2 linked regions of the Arabidopsis thaliana genome follow. The protein of the gene in region 2 interacts with the protein of the main gene of each other region in a pairwise test. Each region holds a gene or a part of one and is shown on either strand. Other genes may lie near its edges.

Region 1 (6,816 bases), about 27 Mb from region 2:
TTCTTATCCACTCATATATATGAACGTGTTTTTGGTGATGAATTTAGAGGTTAAGCTCTCTTTTTTGTCCTCCTCACCAAACTTTTGCTTATGTGCATCTCCTTCACCATTATTACTTTCCTACAATTATTTATCTGCCTCTAAATAATAATATCTATAAGATCTTTCCGCTTGTGAAGAGAATCTCTCTGTTTTCGTAATCAACATGTGAGCTCTTTTGGTTCACAATTTTTTTTTTGTTTACTGTAGCACATAAACTAGTAGTATTTATTCTCCTTAACATCAAATTTTGAACTCGTGACTTTCATAAAAAGCTATTTAAAACATGAATATTTTCCTTTGAAAACATATCATTTTTTGTAATATATCATCTTAGGTATTTTACACAATCATCAACCTCAAGAGAATTTTCACCTTCTTATTTTCTTTACATTGATACCAAAAAAAAACTCGAGAGAATAATAGTAAAGTGGACTTGTTAACAACGAAAGCTGGCGATACAAAACTAGTACTATTCTCTTTAGCGATGCATTCAATATGATTTTGGTATAAATCAATTAAGTGTTCATATAATTAGTTAATGAAGTGTGTTTGTGAAATTAGCAAAAAAAAAATTATAGTGAATTTTATTTGATATTAAATTCTTGACAGACATGAGTCCATGACAAACATATATCTGTTAGTTCTTAAAGTTATAATGTAATCCTACAATAAACAGACCAAAGCATTACAAACAATGATCAAATACAGAGACGCCCTAACGTCTTCTCCTGCTCGTAAGAATATAAATGGTAACTATATAATCATAATCTAATGATTACAATTACAAATTACCATTGTAAAAAAAAAAAAAAAAAGTGTAGGTTTTATGTAGGAGAAGTAGAAGAGTAATTCATTCCACTGGATTCTCCGGTCGACAAATCAAGAAGCATCTTCTTGTATGGCATTGCACTCATAAGCCTGCACCAACAACATCAATTCTTTTAGATTCAATTGAAAAACCTCAAAATTTTCTATAAAGAAAAAAAATACAAAATCAAACCTCTCTTTGCGCTTCTCCAAGAACCGAGCCAAGGATGCTTTCCGAGCTTGAGGGACTGGAAAAAAGCAATTTTCGAGTTTAGACATATGATTTGAGGAAGCAAAAATCTTGATTATATTTTGTTTTGATGTTGATATTAGACACACATACCTGAAGGAATCATGTTACGAGGAGCTGCATTGAATGATTCGATCATGCTCATTGCATTAGTCGCAGCAACGGGTGTGTCCCTACACCTTGAGAAATTATCAGTGTGAGTGGCAGAGCTTGATGAGGTAGCAGCAGTGTTATGGATTTGTTTTCCATACATTCTTTCAGCTTCTCGAACCGGTTTGCTATCTCCAGTTTCACCTTTCAAACCGTTCCCGGCGCATAACATGATGGCTTGAGCCTACTCACATATCATGAATAGTCCGTTTTAGAACATGTAAATGTTATGTAAATGTTATTTGTATGAATCTTGATTATATATACCTTATCGGGAGATATGTCATTAAAGACGCTTATAGTTCCGCCATAAAAGATTGTGAGCTGAGGAGATGATCCGGAGGAAGCCACTCTGTTTCCACAAACCCACATAACCAAATCAAAATATGAAAAGAGCAAAAAAATTGTTGAATGTTTTTGCATCATAATATGGAAATTACCGTGGAACAAGAGAAGGATGAGTTGGTAAAGGAACTGAACCGCCTAGTAAAAGCGGCGTCGCGTTTTGAAACGCACCACCAAATTGGCATCTGCGGAAAACATTGGCCGCAGAAACTGATCCCCACTGGTATGCACCCGGAAACGCCTTAGCCTCCTAATTTGTTAAATTCAAATTTTAATCGTCAACGTCTTTAAATTTTTTGTACATTCTAAATTTAGAAAAATGCCAAGAAATAAACGTGATCCAAACGCCAAACACCAAACGCCACAAAATATTAAATTATTTTTTCCCTAACTTTGCGGCTGGCAGACGACCGACCCTACCAGCTCTTAACTAGCACTTATCCAACAATTTTTTTTCCCTGGTTAATGATTGGCCACATACACAAAAATGATAAAGTTCGGCCATTTATCCGACCATTTTCCGGTGGCTATCTCTTACGAAAACAACTTTTCTCATAAATATGTGATTGATGTGTTTAACATAATTTGAAAGTAAATTCTTCTTTTTAATCAAGACCATAATTGAGTACTCCTCTTGCACATGCTAAAAGACGACCATGATTATGCGGTAGCTTATAGAACCATTAGATTAGCCATAACATCTGAAACTGATACAGAGTAAGTTAAATTTTAAGATGAACCAACCTGGAAATCTGAAGAAGGCATGAAACTTGAAGTAGCAAAAACCTTTGACTTCCCCCATTCTCTAGCTGCCTTCGTACTTAACCCTATAAGTATCATTTTTTATGGTCGTCAATTTGACTAATCTATCCAATCTCATTTTTATAAAAGATTTAATGGAATCTTTTTTTTTTCAAGTTTTGGAATCTGAAAAATTATATTTAAATAAACAACTTTATACGGCTATGTTAAAAGTGAAAACTGATCTCTTCTTGAAACATTAAAATAAAAGATTCTCGAGACAAGAACACAAACCTCGTTCTTCGACAGCATCATCGTTAACCTCATGCTTAACGTTATTACTTAGATACTGCTTGTCGCTCAAACCCAGAAAATCTCTTTCCATTGCAAACCAAATATTCAATGACAAACTCTCAAATTAACGTGTTTCTCTCTGTTTCTTGCCCAAAACATCCAATTTAAAGAAGAGGAAGAAGAAAACAGAAGAAAGAAGTGGGAATCCACAAGGAAGGTTTCGTTTTGGTAATGTTACAGACACACTTTTGGAGAGGCTTATTTAACTCTTTGCCTTTCCTGTTTTTAAAGGCTTGCTTGATTAAAGCATGTGGGGCTTTTTTCTGACCGGTACAAACGGTTGGTGCTACTGGTTAAACCGGTTAATTCACACGTGTTTATTCTTTTGATTTTTTCATTTCTGAGGACCATATACAATTAGACATCCGTCGACCGTCGGTGGCTCTAGTTTATAATAGTGCATGTTTTTTTTCAAAGGTGGATTAATTAGTTTGGCTATTGGATATTTTCTTCGTGAACTCACACACACATGTAAAATGTGTGGTTGCTTTTCTTATGCAACGGTTTGGTATTTATCACATATTTTTTTCTTTTCTTTGAAAATTATTTCAACTATAATAATAAATGAAATGATAAGCCAAGACTCTTTCGTTGAGGCAAAAGTAATGTCACGTATTGGATATACAATAACCAAATCACGAGAATGCTCAATGGGCTGAAAGAAGTTTGATTTGCTTATCTAAGGCCCATAATTTTGTTTACGGCCCGACTTACATTAAATCTGTTCAGTATAACTGTACAGATTTGGCTAAATTGCATTCCAAACTAGACCTCCAAGAACTTGAGTGAACTTTTGCTAAGCTCATTTCATAACACGTGAAATTTTTGAATCTTTGATACATCATGTTGTTATTTGAGACCAATTTTTCTTATTCATATAATGTTTCAAACAGACGCAAGTCATTTATTAGTCATGTTACTCATGTACAAATTAAAAGAAGAACCTGGTTATGAAGCAATCATCGGTAGTACATTAAGAATTTCAGAAAATTAAAAAAAATATGGAAAAGAATTAGACGTTAGTTGGTCTTTCAAAGTCCTAAAACGATTTGGTAGTCAGCTTACAATTTTAAATTATCATTTTTAATGATTAAAGGACATTAGGCCAAGTCTTCAATTGAGTTCTTTAGACAATATGAGAATAAATAATGATGAATACGATGAAAAGATTCGTTCAGACATTCGCAATAGGACGAACACAGTTATCATTTTTTGGATCTCCATCCTGATTTACGGTTTAATATGTTCCATTATTCTCGACACGTTCATTTATTTTAACTTGTTTGTGTATTGATAAAAGAAGCTCAAACCCTTTTAATTACTGTTATTTTTTGCATAGACGAAAAACATGGCATTTATAGAAGATAAGAAATCGAAGGTTTCATTCACATCAAAGAAGAAGATATCGCTTTGGCCTATATAAGTCCGACAATTATACAAAAATCGATTCGGAGATACAATCATATCAATACTATATCAAATTATCAATATACTATAACTACGTACATCTTATGAGGGAGAACAAAAAAAATTACAAAAATACAACTAACAGTGTGGCTCGACTCGAGTTGTTGATTGATATCTTTCCCACTTTGTCCTTTCATTTACACCATTTCTCATCTGCAAAAGGCATATACATAGTAATTTAGATTTTATGATCGATAAAAGAACTGAAAAAAAAACGTAAATCAATATCAAAAATACCTTGTAATTTTCTACAACACTTTCCAACAAAAGCGAGAAACACAACGAGCAAGATGATTAAGGTGACGATTCCTATTATTATCGCCAATGTTTTTCCCACTCCATTATCATCCTTATTGCCCTTCTCTCCTTCTGCCAAATATATATATATATAATTTTAAAACTATCCATCCACCTCTAAAGTTTTTAATAAATTTGTTTTCTCCATCAAGTATAATGTTCATATTTTTATTTATGGTCAACACTATCAATTTTATGGGTTTAAAAATTTAGCGTCGTACACAAATATATAAACCATTAGACTAATTGTTAAGATCAGTCTAATATTTAAATTTTCATCTGAGGTTACGTAAAAAGGTTTTTTTTTTAGTGATTACGACTTTTTATTTTTTTATCTAGTTTAGTTAAAATAAGTTTAGAGGAAGACTGACCATGACCAAAGTTTGGGCCTGGGGTCTGACGCGCGTGACTACCACCAACACTGAAACGCGCGTAACATTTCGACAAGTAAACATATCCTCCCTGAGCCATTCCACAATCAGATTTGAGCCGTCCGATTGCATCAGACAAGCAATCTTGGCACTGTGATGTACTTAGATCACCGGAGCACTGAGCCACACCCTGAACATTCCCGTTGCCACCTGTCCTGTAAGATCCATCTCCGGTACCTAAAGAACCGATGACGTCACTAGCTTTGGTCAACGCATCCTGGTCGTTGAATTCCATCGGCTGTCCACATTTGTTGAGGATCAACGTTTTGTCTTGAACCCCAAGGAACGATTTGTTGTCGTAACGGATCAGACAATTTTCCATCTGCAAGAACCCGGAGTACGAGTTTGAACATAAGGCTCCGACCTGTGCGACGGCGCTTGATACGCACGTCGAGCAGGCGGTTGGGTCTAGGTCGCCGCGGCACTGGTAAATACCGTATACGGTAACGGTTGGTTCCGGTTTCCCGGTGGGAACTGTGAAGTTGGCGTAGCGGGTTTGGGCGGTTGAGGTGACGAAGGAAGAGAGGAGGGAGTTAAGATTTGTCTCGTAGCCGGAGCTAGGGGAGAATTTAGCCGGAGAACAAACGGCGTATATGTAATTGTCAGTGGGGGAGGAGGAAGATGGGTTCATTAGTATAACGGCTGTGAGAAGGAAACAGAGAAGGGACGTCGTCTTTGTCTTGATCATGGTTACTTTTTGTTTTGAGAGATAGAGAAAGAGAGAAGATGATTTGGTAAAATATAAATTGAAGAGCGAAGACTTGCTTTAAAGATAATTGACGTAAAGAAGGGTACTCTTATATGTGGTTCCATGTTGCATGCTTTTGGTTTTTTTTTTTTTGGTTTTTGGTTGGGGACGTTCTTAAGAATTTCCACAATTTGCAAGTTCCATATCATTGAAATTACTAAATAATTGCAACTCTTTCTTCGTTCAGACTTTTTTTTTTAAAGCTATAATGTGGAATTTGGCAATGTGCGTCTATCCATTACAACTTTCTTTTTGTTAATCTATCCTTACTCATGTCATTTGAATTCAATTTTTTATTTTGACAGTGACTCGTGTGAATTCGTTAGCCTCTACCGTTACTACTAATTACCCTTACTTGCCAGTTGCCACTTATCAAGAAGGCAATAAAACTGAGGAGTTAATTTCTTATAGTATTGTGAAGTTTGAATGCGTATAGAAAGGCCAAATCGGCGGACTTACCACGAAATTAATAAAAAACCAACTTCTTTATTCATGTATTATGTATATATAATCAACACAAAAAGATATGAAAATTTGCATTCAACTAGTTTATTTTTCTTATATCAGATGATAGGAGTGACGAAGCAATTCTCGCATTATGTGTGTGTATATAAAAATTGACAATAGTAGGTCTTTTTTTTTGTTTTTCTATATCATCAGAAAAAAAAAGCAATACGAATAATACCGAGCAATGACGACGTATACGTCATGAAAACGAGTTATGGTCATTAATATATTACATGTAGTATAGCGTATAGAGTTTGGATAGGCAATGGTACTTGAAAATGATTTTAGAAGATGAATTTTAATTATATAGAAAGGGATATTGGCGTGCTGGTCGAGATGTTGTATACATTTATGTAAGGGTTGTATCAACATTTTATTATTTTTATTAGTATGATGAGAAATCAATCAAGTAACTAGGCTGCCAACGTCAAAGTTCAGTTACGGGACCGGTGAACGAATAGAGAAGACAATAATGTTATTTGACCGACTTTTGTTTAGTTCTTATAACCACAACACCCATAGACCTTTTCTTTGGCTATAGATTGTTCTTATTGACTTTAGTAATACTATTTCTTTTTGTTGGAAGGTTAGATTCTTTTATTATCCATTGTAGCTCAATTAGTAAAGACCTTAGGCGAATCTTAGAGGTCGCCAGTTCGAATGACGCTTGGGACGAA
Region 2 (6,938 bases):
TTTGAACACTAAAAATGGTGTGCACGAACATCATAGTGTTTCCTCTTGTTCACAAGCAATGAATCAGCTGTGTTTTGTTGTTCTTGAGCAATTCCGTGACCAATCCATAACACTTATCTGACTTGTCGATTAAACACTTCACCAAATCCAACACATAGGACATATCAGAATGAATAAAGACTGATTCATGAGCTAGTCTACGACTTTAACAGATACAACATTATCGTTAATTACTTAATTCCCAGCTTTGTCCACTGTAAAACGAGTAAATGATAATGTCTACTTTTGTCAATAAAACTTCTAAAATCCTAGTTTGGAGGATTCTTACAGGTATATAACCAAAAAAAGGTAAAAACAAAAGATACCTAGAAGAAAAAAAGAACCATTCAAAACCGGTTCTTGATTACAAACTTACTTCCACCTTCTTCTGTCTCTCAAAAGGCTATCTACCTGATGATGTTCTTGACTGAACTGAATTTGTTTGCTCTCTAGACAAGGCCGATATCAGCTTCTCTTTCGTTAATTCTTCAGATTTGACTACAAACGTATGCAACACTGTGTCCTGAGAAACTTCCAGGTTCGAGTTTATCACTTCTACTTTACTCTCTTCAAACGCATGGAAGATTCTGGAAGCCGGATGAGACTCCAACGGACAGTTTATCCTCACTGTGACATCTTCACCTGAGGTTTGAACATTTATATCTGAATCCAAGCTGATAGGTGGATTTGAGCTATACCCTAACCTCTCTCTCTCTGCTTCCATGACCTTTAGCTTCGCGTGAAGCTCGTTTATATAAGAAACCGCGTCTCCCAACAAGGACGCTTTGTCCATCTTGGATATGTTGGGAACAACGGATCTCAGAGCGTAAAACCTCTGGTTAAGCTTCTCACGCCTCTGCCTCTCTGCTTCTACATGGTTCAAAGCTTCCGCTCTTCCGTTGGCAGGTCTCCTTCCGCGTTTTCTTGGTCTGTTGTTACCAGATTCATCAGCACCCACTGCATCTGCCCATTCCCCTCCTCCTTCTCCATCTGAATTATTCTCTGAAGCCCTTGAACTCGCAGCAGAGAAATCTATCTGCATTTGAGCAGGAGGAAGCAGCCTCTGCGATGATTGCTGCAAAGGTAAAAACTTGAACTCATCCGTGCTTGGAACTTCCTTCACGTTGATTGGCCTCGTGTAGTTCTCAGGTTGAACCCAAGTAGGACTCAGAAGAGTGTTGTTGTTGGTGCCTGGGTTCGAAAACATAAACCTGTTCCCATTATTCGGATAAGCATCTAATCTCTTGGGAGCTCTATCATCCATTTTTCTAACCGTGAGTTTCTCTCTAAACTGTCTATGCTGTTGCTGTTGCGGTGGTTGTTGTTGTTGTTGTTGGTGATGCTGATGATGTTGAAGAAACCCTGAATTGTGCAAATCCTTGCCGAATATCTTCGTTCTGTTATCATCAATCTTTTCAGCTACAGTAACAGGTAAAGCAACAGCTCTAACCGGAGGCAAACTACTGGTAAACAATGATCTTATAGACAAGATTGAGTCTTCACTTTCAGGCAAACATGAAGTTGAGCCTAACTCAACAACACCAAGATCAGTAGGAACCAAAACAACAGTCTGAATGCCAGCAGATTTAGCAAGAAACGATCTAACGCAATAATCAGAACCCGAATTGACGACATCGGATAACCAAACAGGTTTAGCAGAGGCAAAACACTTGCCTGGACCACCTTCACCTCGAGGGAATGAGAAATACATAGAAGAAAGAAGAAACATCTCAGTGTCAGTAACTCTATCTAGTCCTAAAGCACAGTTCTCTTCTTCTGAGCCACCAAACAAATCATGAAGCTTTTGCAATACTCTCTTTCTCATAGTCTGATGCGTTTCTTCTTCTCTTCCCATACTTAGAATCCTAACGATCTCTGATTTCTCTCCTTCTTTAGGCTCTCTGCAATATCCATCGCCCCAACAGAGAACCAAATCTCCGGCCTTTGACCTGGAAATCTGCCAGAAAATGGCGTAGTTCCAAGAGAAATTAGAAGCGTTGGGTCTCTCGACGAGATCCGAGAGCTTGTTCTGCAGATTCTCGTCGCTTCCTAGAGTCATCAAGAGATTAGCATTGGAAACAGAGTTGGAAAGCAAGTAATCGAGAGCTCGTTTGCCCAGTAATGACGCAACAATCGCTTTATCGTCCTCGTTCCACACTAGGCGACCAATATTCATCTCTGCTTTCTTTTCTTTTGTTGTTTGGATCCCAACAAAAAGGAAAGACTTTTAAGAAACCCAGATCTTCAGAAATCGATTCTTAAGTCAAATGATAGGGTTTAGAAGTGTGACCCAGATGCAAATATACGGCGGAGTATAACAGTTTTGCATGGAACACCCAGAGATCTCAGATCTTGCCCCTATTTTCTTTAACAACAATTAAATGACAAAAATCAAACTCCACCAACAGAAAATGAGGAATTGAGAAGAATATATTTTTACCAGTAAAGAAGATTTGAATCAAGTCTCTTCCACCGAGATTTTCTCCTCAAAATCAGATTTTTGAGAATCCGACCCAAAAAAAAACACAAATTTTAAATCTCCCAAACCCCACCAAAATGGACAAACAAATTACCTAAATTCCCCGAAAAAGAACCCTAAGAATCCAGAAAATAAAAAAAGATGTATCAGTTTCGCTGTATCGGCTCCCTGTTTTGTCGCCGTGGCCAATTGAATGAATTCAAGGAAGAGAGAGAGTCCGACGCATGTTCTTCGTGCTCTTTTTTATTAAAAGACCAAACCCCAACAAACAAAACAAAAAACAAAACAAAAAGACTTTCATCTGAACCATGGTTAGCTACTTAACTACACAATTGAGTTTAGAAACTTAAACCGGGTCTGGTTCGATTTAGTCTTTGTCTCGAGTCTTTGATACACGACGATTGAAAACCCCTTAGATTATGTCATGGTTTTTGTCAATAATTGATTGACATAATTTTCAATTATGGGTTTTGATTAATTAAAAATTTGCAACAGATCTATCTCAACTGGTGTAGATCTAAACAAATACTATCTGACAACTCGAGATTAGATTCTCATGTTCATGGAAATAACTAAAGGGGAAACCAAACCCAAATTTAGAAGTTTGCTTTCAATTTTTAAAATTTTTGTTTACATAATTGCAAAGTATGCCAACTAAGACCGGTGGTCAAGCACCGGGAATTTTGACCAAATCAATTCACATTCAAGTTAGGCTTAAATATTCGGTTTTTGTTGTGTTTTGTTTTGTTGCAAAGACTAAAGAGTTGTTCCTTAAGTTTCAAATGCTTTCAGAATTATACAAAATAAAAGGCTTATTTTAGTTTAGATCCTTGATTATTATTTTTGGTAATATTATTGATGGTGGTTCTACAACGGGAGTAAATAATTTTTTTAAAAACAAAACAAAAAAACAAATTACTAAATAACTTGATAAATGTTGACAAAACAATTCAACTCCTTTAGAAGAAAGGAAACGCCAAGTCGATAGAGAGGAGGGCGTGAAAAGCACGTGAAGTTCACGTGGATTTAGGAGAGATGACCAGAATGAGAAGAACGTGAGATGCATTTAATTTTCTTTGGATCTCTTTTTCTTTTTAATTTCATTTTCAAATGCGCCTGCACAGCTCTGCACTTTCTCTTCTGTAACGTTTTTTTTTTCTCTTTCTCTTTTTGTTTATTCTCTCGCAACCACAATTGAATTGTAATATATTTATAGCTTTCACTCTTTAAGTCATAAAATTATCATCAAAATATAAACTACGGCTCTGCGAAAATGAATATACAATGACTATATTATTTTGGAAAAATCTTTAACAAACGATAAAGTTAAAACAAAAAATTAGTATATATAGTAATTATGGAAAATGAAGTCACGAGTGGGTATAATATATGTATGGCGGTGAGAAACACACAGCAAAAAGTGGGGACCGCGTGATTCACGTGTTTAAACTATCCTTTATTCGAGACGTTTGGGTCCCATTCCCATCTAAGTCAAACAACGACGTCGACTTACAATATCTCCAAGTCGTCAAGAATATAATATGGGCCGATATTACAATACTGGTTTTCTATGGAATTCTTGTAATGTTGGGCCACATATGTGCTAGGTCAAACGTGATATCAGCCTTTTTCCCAAACCTTAATAATGCCCCCCATCTATCCCTTATCTAGCAATCAGAATTAGAATGGGCTGTTCAACGGACTCAGTCTTGAATTCTTAAATCTCAATCTTATCATATATTTCATTGGTTTTGTTTTACCACAACAAATCGGCCTATTAGTCCAGTTAACTCTATTGTAAGAGTTGATTTAATCCCGGATAAAGTAGTGCCGGTTCTTGGTGAACTTATTCTGAATGCCACTAAACCTATCGCTTTGTTTAAATTTGTACTAACAATATATCAAGTATTCATTTATCTTCAATAATGATCCAAATTGGTTTGATTTTCACACGTGACTGTAAACTCTAGCTTCAGAAACATACTTGCAAGTTGAAGTTGTAACAATAGTTTTTCCTTAATTTTGTTACCTTATAAAAAAAAGAAAATCCCATTTTGGCGTTTATAGTTGATATATTCATGTTACAATGAATTCCGTGTTTAACGTCAACAAAATCGTCACCTTTTTGGTAACAACCAAAAAAAACACAAATCATAAGATGACTACTTTAATCTACCAACAACTCACGAAAAGGAAAAAAGAACCGACCAAAACTTAAAGCTCATCGTATGAACAAAAAAACAAATCTCGAAGCTCAATAAAAAAAGAAATATATATATACATATATACGTCACACACATATACATATATATTTTCAGTTACTTACTGTTTTAAAAACGAACAAGTGTTAAAATTGTTTACACGAAAGCACCCGGAGACAAAACTGATAGTAAAGCCGTGTATGGTCTCATCTGATGTAAGAAGAAAGTGAGTTTCGTAACTCCTCTTGCTATCTATTTCCCCAATTTTTTCAATAAAAAAATTGATTGCGATATTAGTATTAATTACTTGAAGTAAATTTCAATGGTTCCTTGTTAATATGTAGTGACGTGATGGGTTAAAATGTGGAAACCATAGACTTCAGGTGATATTTATCAACTGCCCTTTTGCTTAAGGGATTACAAATCACCGTACGAAGACGTGAATTTTCTTGTGATACCTTAAATTTTTCTTTCCTTAAGAATGATAACTTTAGCTAGTTGTCATTTTTTTCTTCTTGTAATAATCGTACTACATCATGGGAAAAGTTTATATTCTTTTGTAATGGTAATTATAGTAGCAAAATGCAAAATCATGAAAGACATTTTTTTTGAGTAGTACAGATTTATGAGTGGTATAGACTAGAGTTTAGACTATGGTCCCTTCAAAAAATAATCAATGCTAATTTTTAAAAGCAACCTATGTGGACCTGCATTGCCCAAGTATATCATATATATAAAAGAAAATAAATTAATAAGTTAATAATTAGGAAAGGAAAAGGGTTTCTTTGTAGATATATTTTCACGATCATGGCATGCATGCACACAAAATTACACCTAACAAAGTGATTTCATTATAATAATAAATTATTGTAAGCACACTTATAATTTTCCACTGTCAGATACTTATTTTAACTTTGGCTGAAGCTTGTACTCAAATTTTGGAGTAAAATACTTGAGTGTTAATCTTAATATGCAACGTGTATACACAAGTTCACTACGATATGTCAAGATGTGAGTAGGTGTACTAGTACTACTGTACTAAGCTATTAACATTACATACTACATAATATATTTTTAATACCCTTTTAGACTTTAGTTTCATAATCTTTTCAGACATAAGATTTATTTAGTCTCTTTCTTGCCATCGACACTTATTTTTACCAATTCGTTGAAAGAAGTGCTAAAACTATAGGACACAACGTCACCAGTACATGAGCTATTGAAAGCATTTCCCCACCACCACTCCCGATTGCTGGGGAGACAAAGATTTGACATATATACTTTTTGGTTTAATTTGACATATAAAGTTAATTAATCATCGGCGGTATCAGTAGCCCCCATGTTCTTCAATTTTGTTTTTATGCAAGATCGCGCAATTTTTATTTTAATAAATCATCTTTTTGGTACTAAAACTATCACTGATTTAATTTGATTCAGCTGTTTATTGTAAGAAATTTACAACCCATGGACAAACTACAGATATAAAATAGGGAAAATCCTTCCCACTGATTTCTGTATATTATTTTTTTGTATAAAGAGTATATCATTATTATTAGTTACGGCATATGAAATAGAATTACGCACACTACGTACTACTATCCATTTGGCAGTAGATTTGGAAAATTACATTCCGGTAATCGAAAGTCTATGATTTAAATGTACGTTGGGGGCATTTATGTAAATTCAGATAATAAACAGTAACGCTTTTGGTTAGAAAATGGGATTGGATGAGATTATAAATGTAGATAACAGTGTGACTTAACCACATAACAAACTCTTTAATGTCACCACAGAGAATGAAGCTATCATCACCACCAGTTACCAACAACGAACCAACCGCCACCGCTTCTGCCGTTAAATCTTGCGGCGGAGGAGGTAAAGAAACCAGCTCATCGACCACGAGGCATCCAGTGTACCACGGAGTTCGCAAACGCCGATGGGGAAAATGGGTTTCTGAGATCAGAGAGCCCCGGAAAAAGTCTCGGATTTGGCTCGGATCTTTTCCGGTGCCGGAGATGGCTGCTAAGGCCTACGACGTGGCAGCGTTTTGTCTAAAAGGTAGAAAAGCTCAGCTGAATTTCCCTGAAGAAATCGAGGATCTACCTCGACCGTCCACGTGTACTCCCAGAGATATCCAAGTCGCAGCGGCCAAAGCAGCCAACGCCGTGAAGATCATCAAAATGGGAGATGATGACGTGGCAGGAATAGACGACGGAGAT

What was found.
Region 1: the proteins of AT1G01260 (region 2) and TIFY7 interact in binary tests that used the Arabidopsis thaliana proteins (3 or more experiments, as listed by UniProt).

What each region holds. Positions count from the first base shown.
Region 1 is NC_003070.9:26,650,855-26,657,670, reverse strand, and holds TIFY7 (TIFY domain/Divergent CCT motif family protein), read right to left. Parts: upstream 2,904-6,816; 5' UTR 2,721-2,903; coding exon 2,630-2,720; intron 2,422-2,629; coding exon 2,339-2,421; intron 1,845-2,338; coding exon 1,690-1,844; intron 1,602-1,689; coding exon 1,517-1,601; intron 1,434-1,516; coding exon 1,193-1,433; intron 1,098-1,192; coding exon 922-1,097; coding exon of another isoform or gene 867-921; 3' UTR 607-866; downstream 1-606. Other genes in the region: HWI1 (Receptor-like protein kinase-related family protein), read right to left, coding at 4,290-4,309, 4,394-4,525, 4,825-5,572. UniProt on the Arabidopsis thaliana protein: Repressor of jasmonate responses. Jasmonoyl-isoleucine (JA-Ile) specifically promotes COI1-TIFY7/JAZ9 interaction. Interacts with and suppresses RHD6 and RSL1 transcription factor activities to negatively regulate jasmonate-stimulated root hair development.
Region 2 is NC_003070.9:104,872-111,809, reverse strand, and holds AT1G01260 (basic helix-loop-helix (bHLH) DNA-binding superfamily protein), read right to left. Parts: upstream 2,865-6,938; 5' UTR 2,480-2,864; exon of another isoform or gene 2,405-2,479; 5' UTR 2,216-2,404; coding exon 443-2,215; 3' UTR 111-442; downstream 1-110. Other genes in the region: AT1G01250 (Integrase-type DNA-binding superfamily protein), read left to right, coding at 6,501-6,938.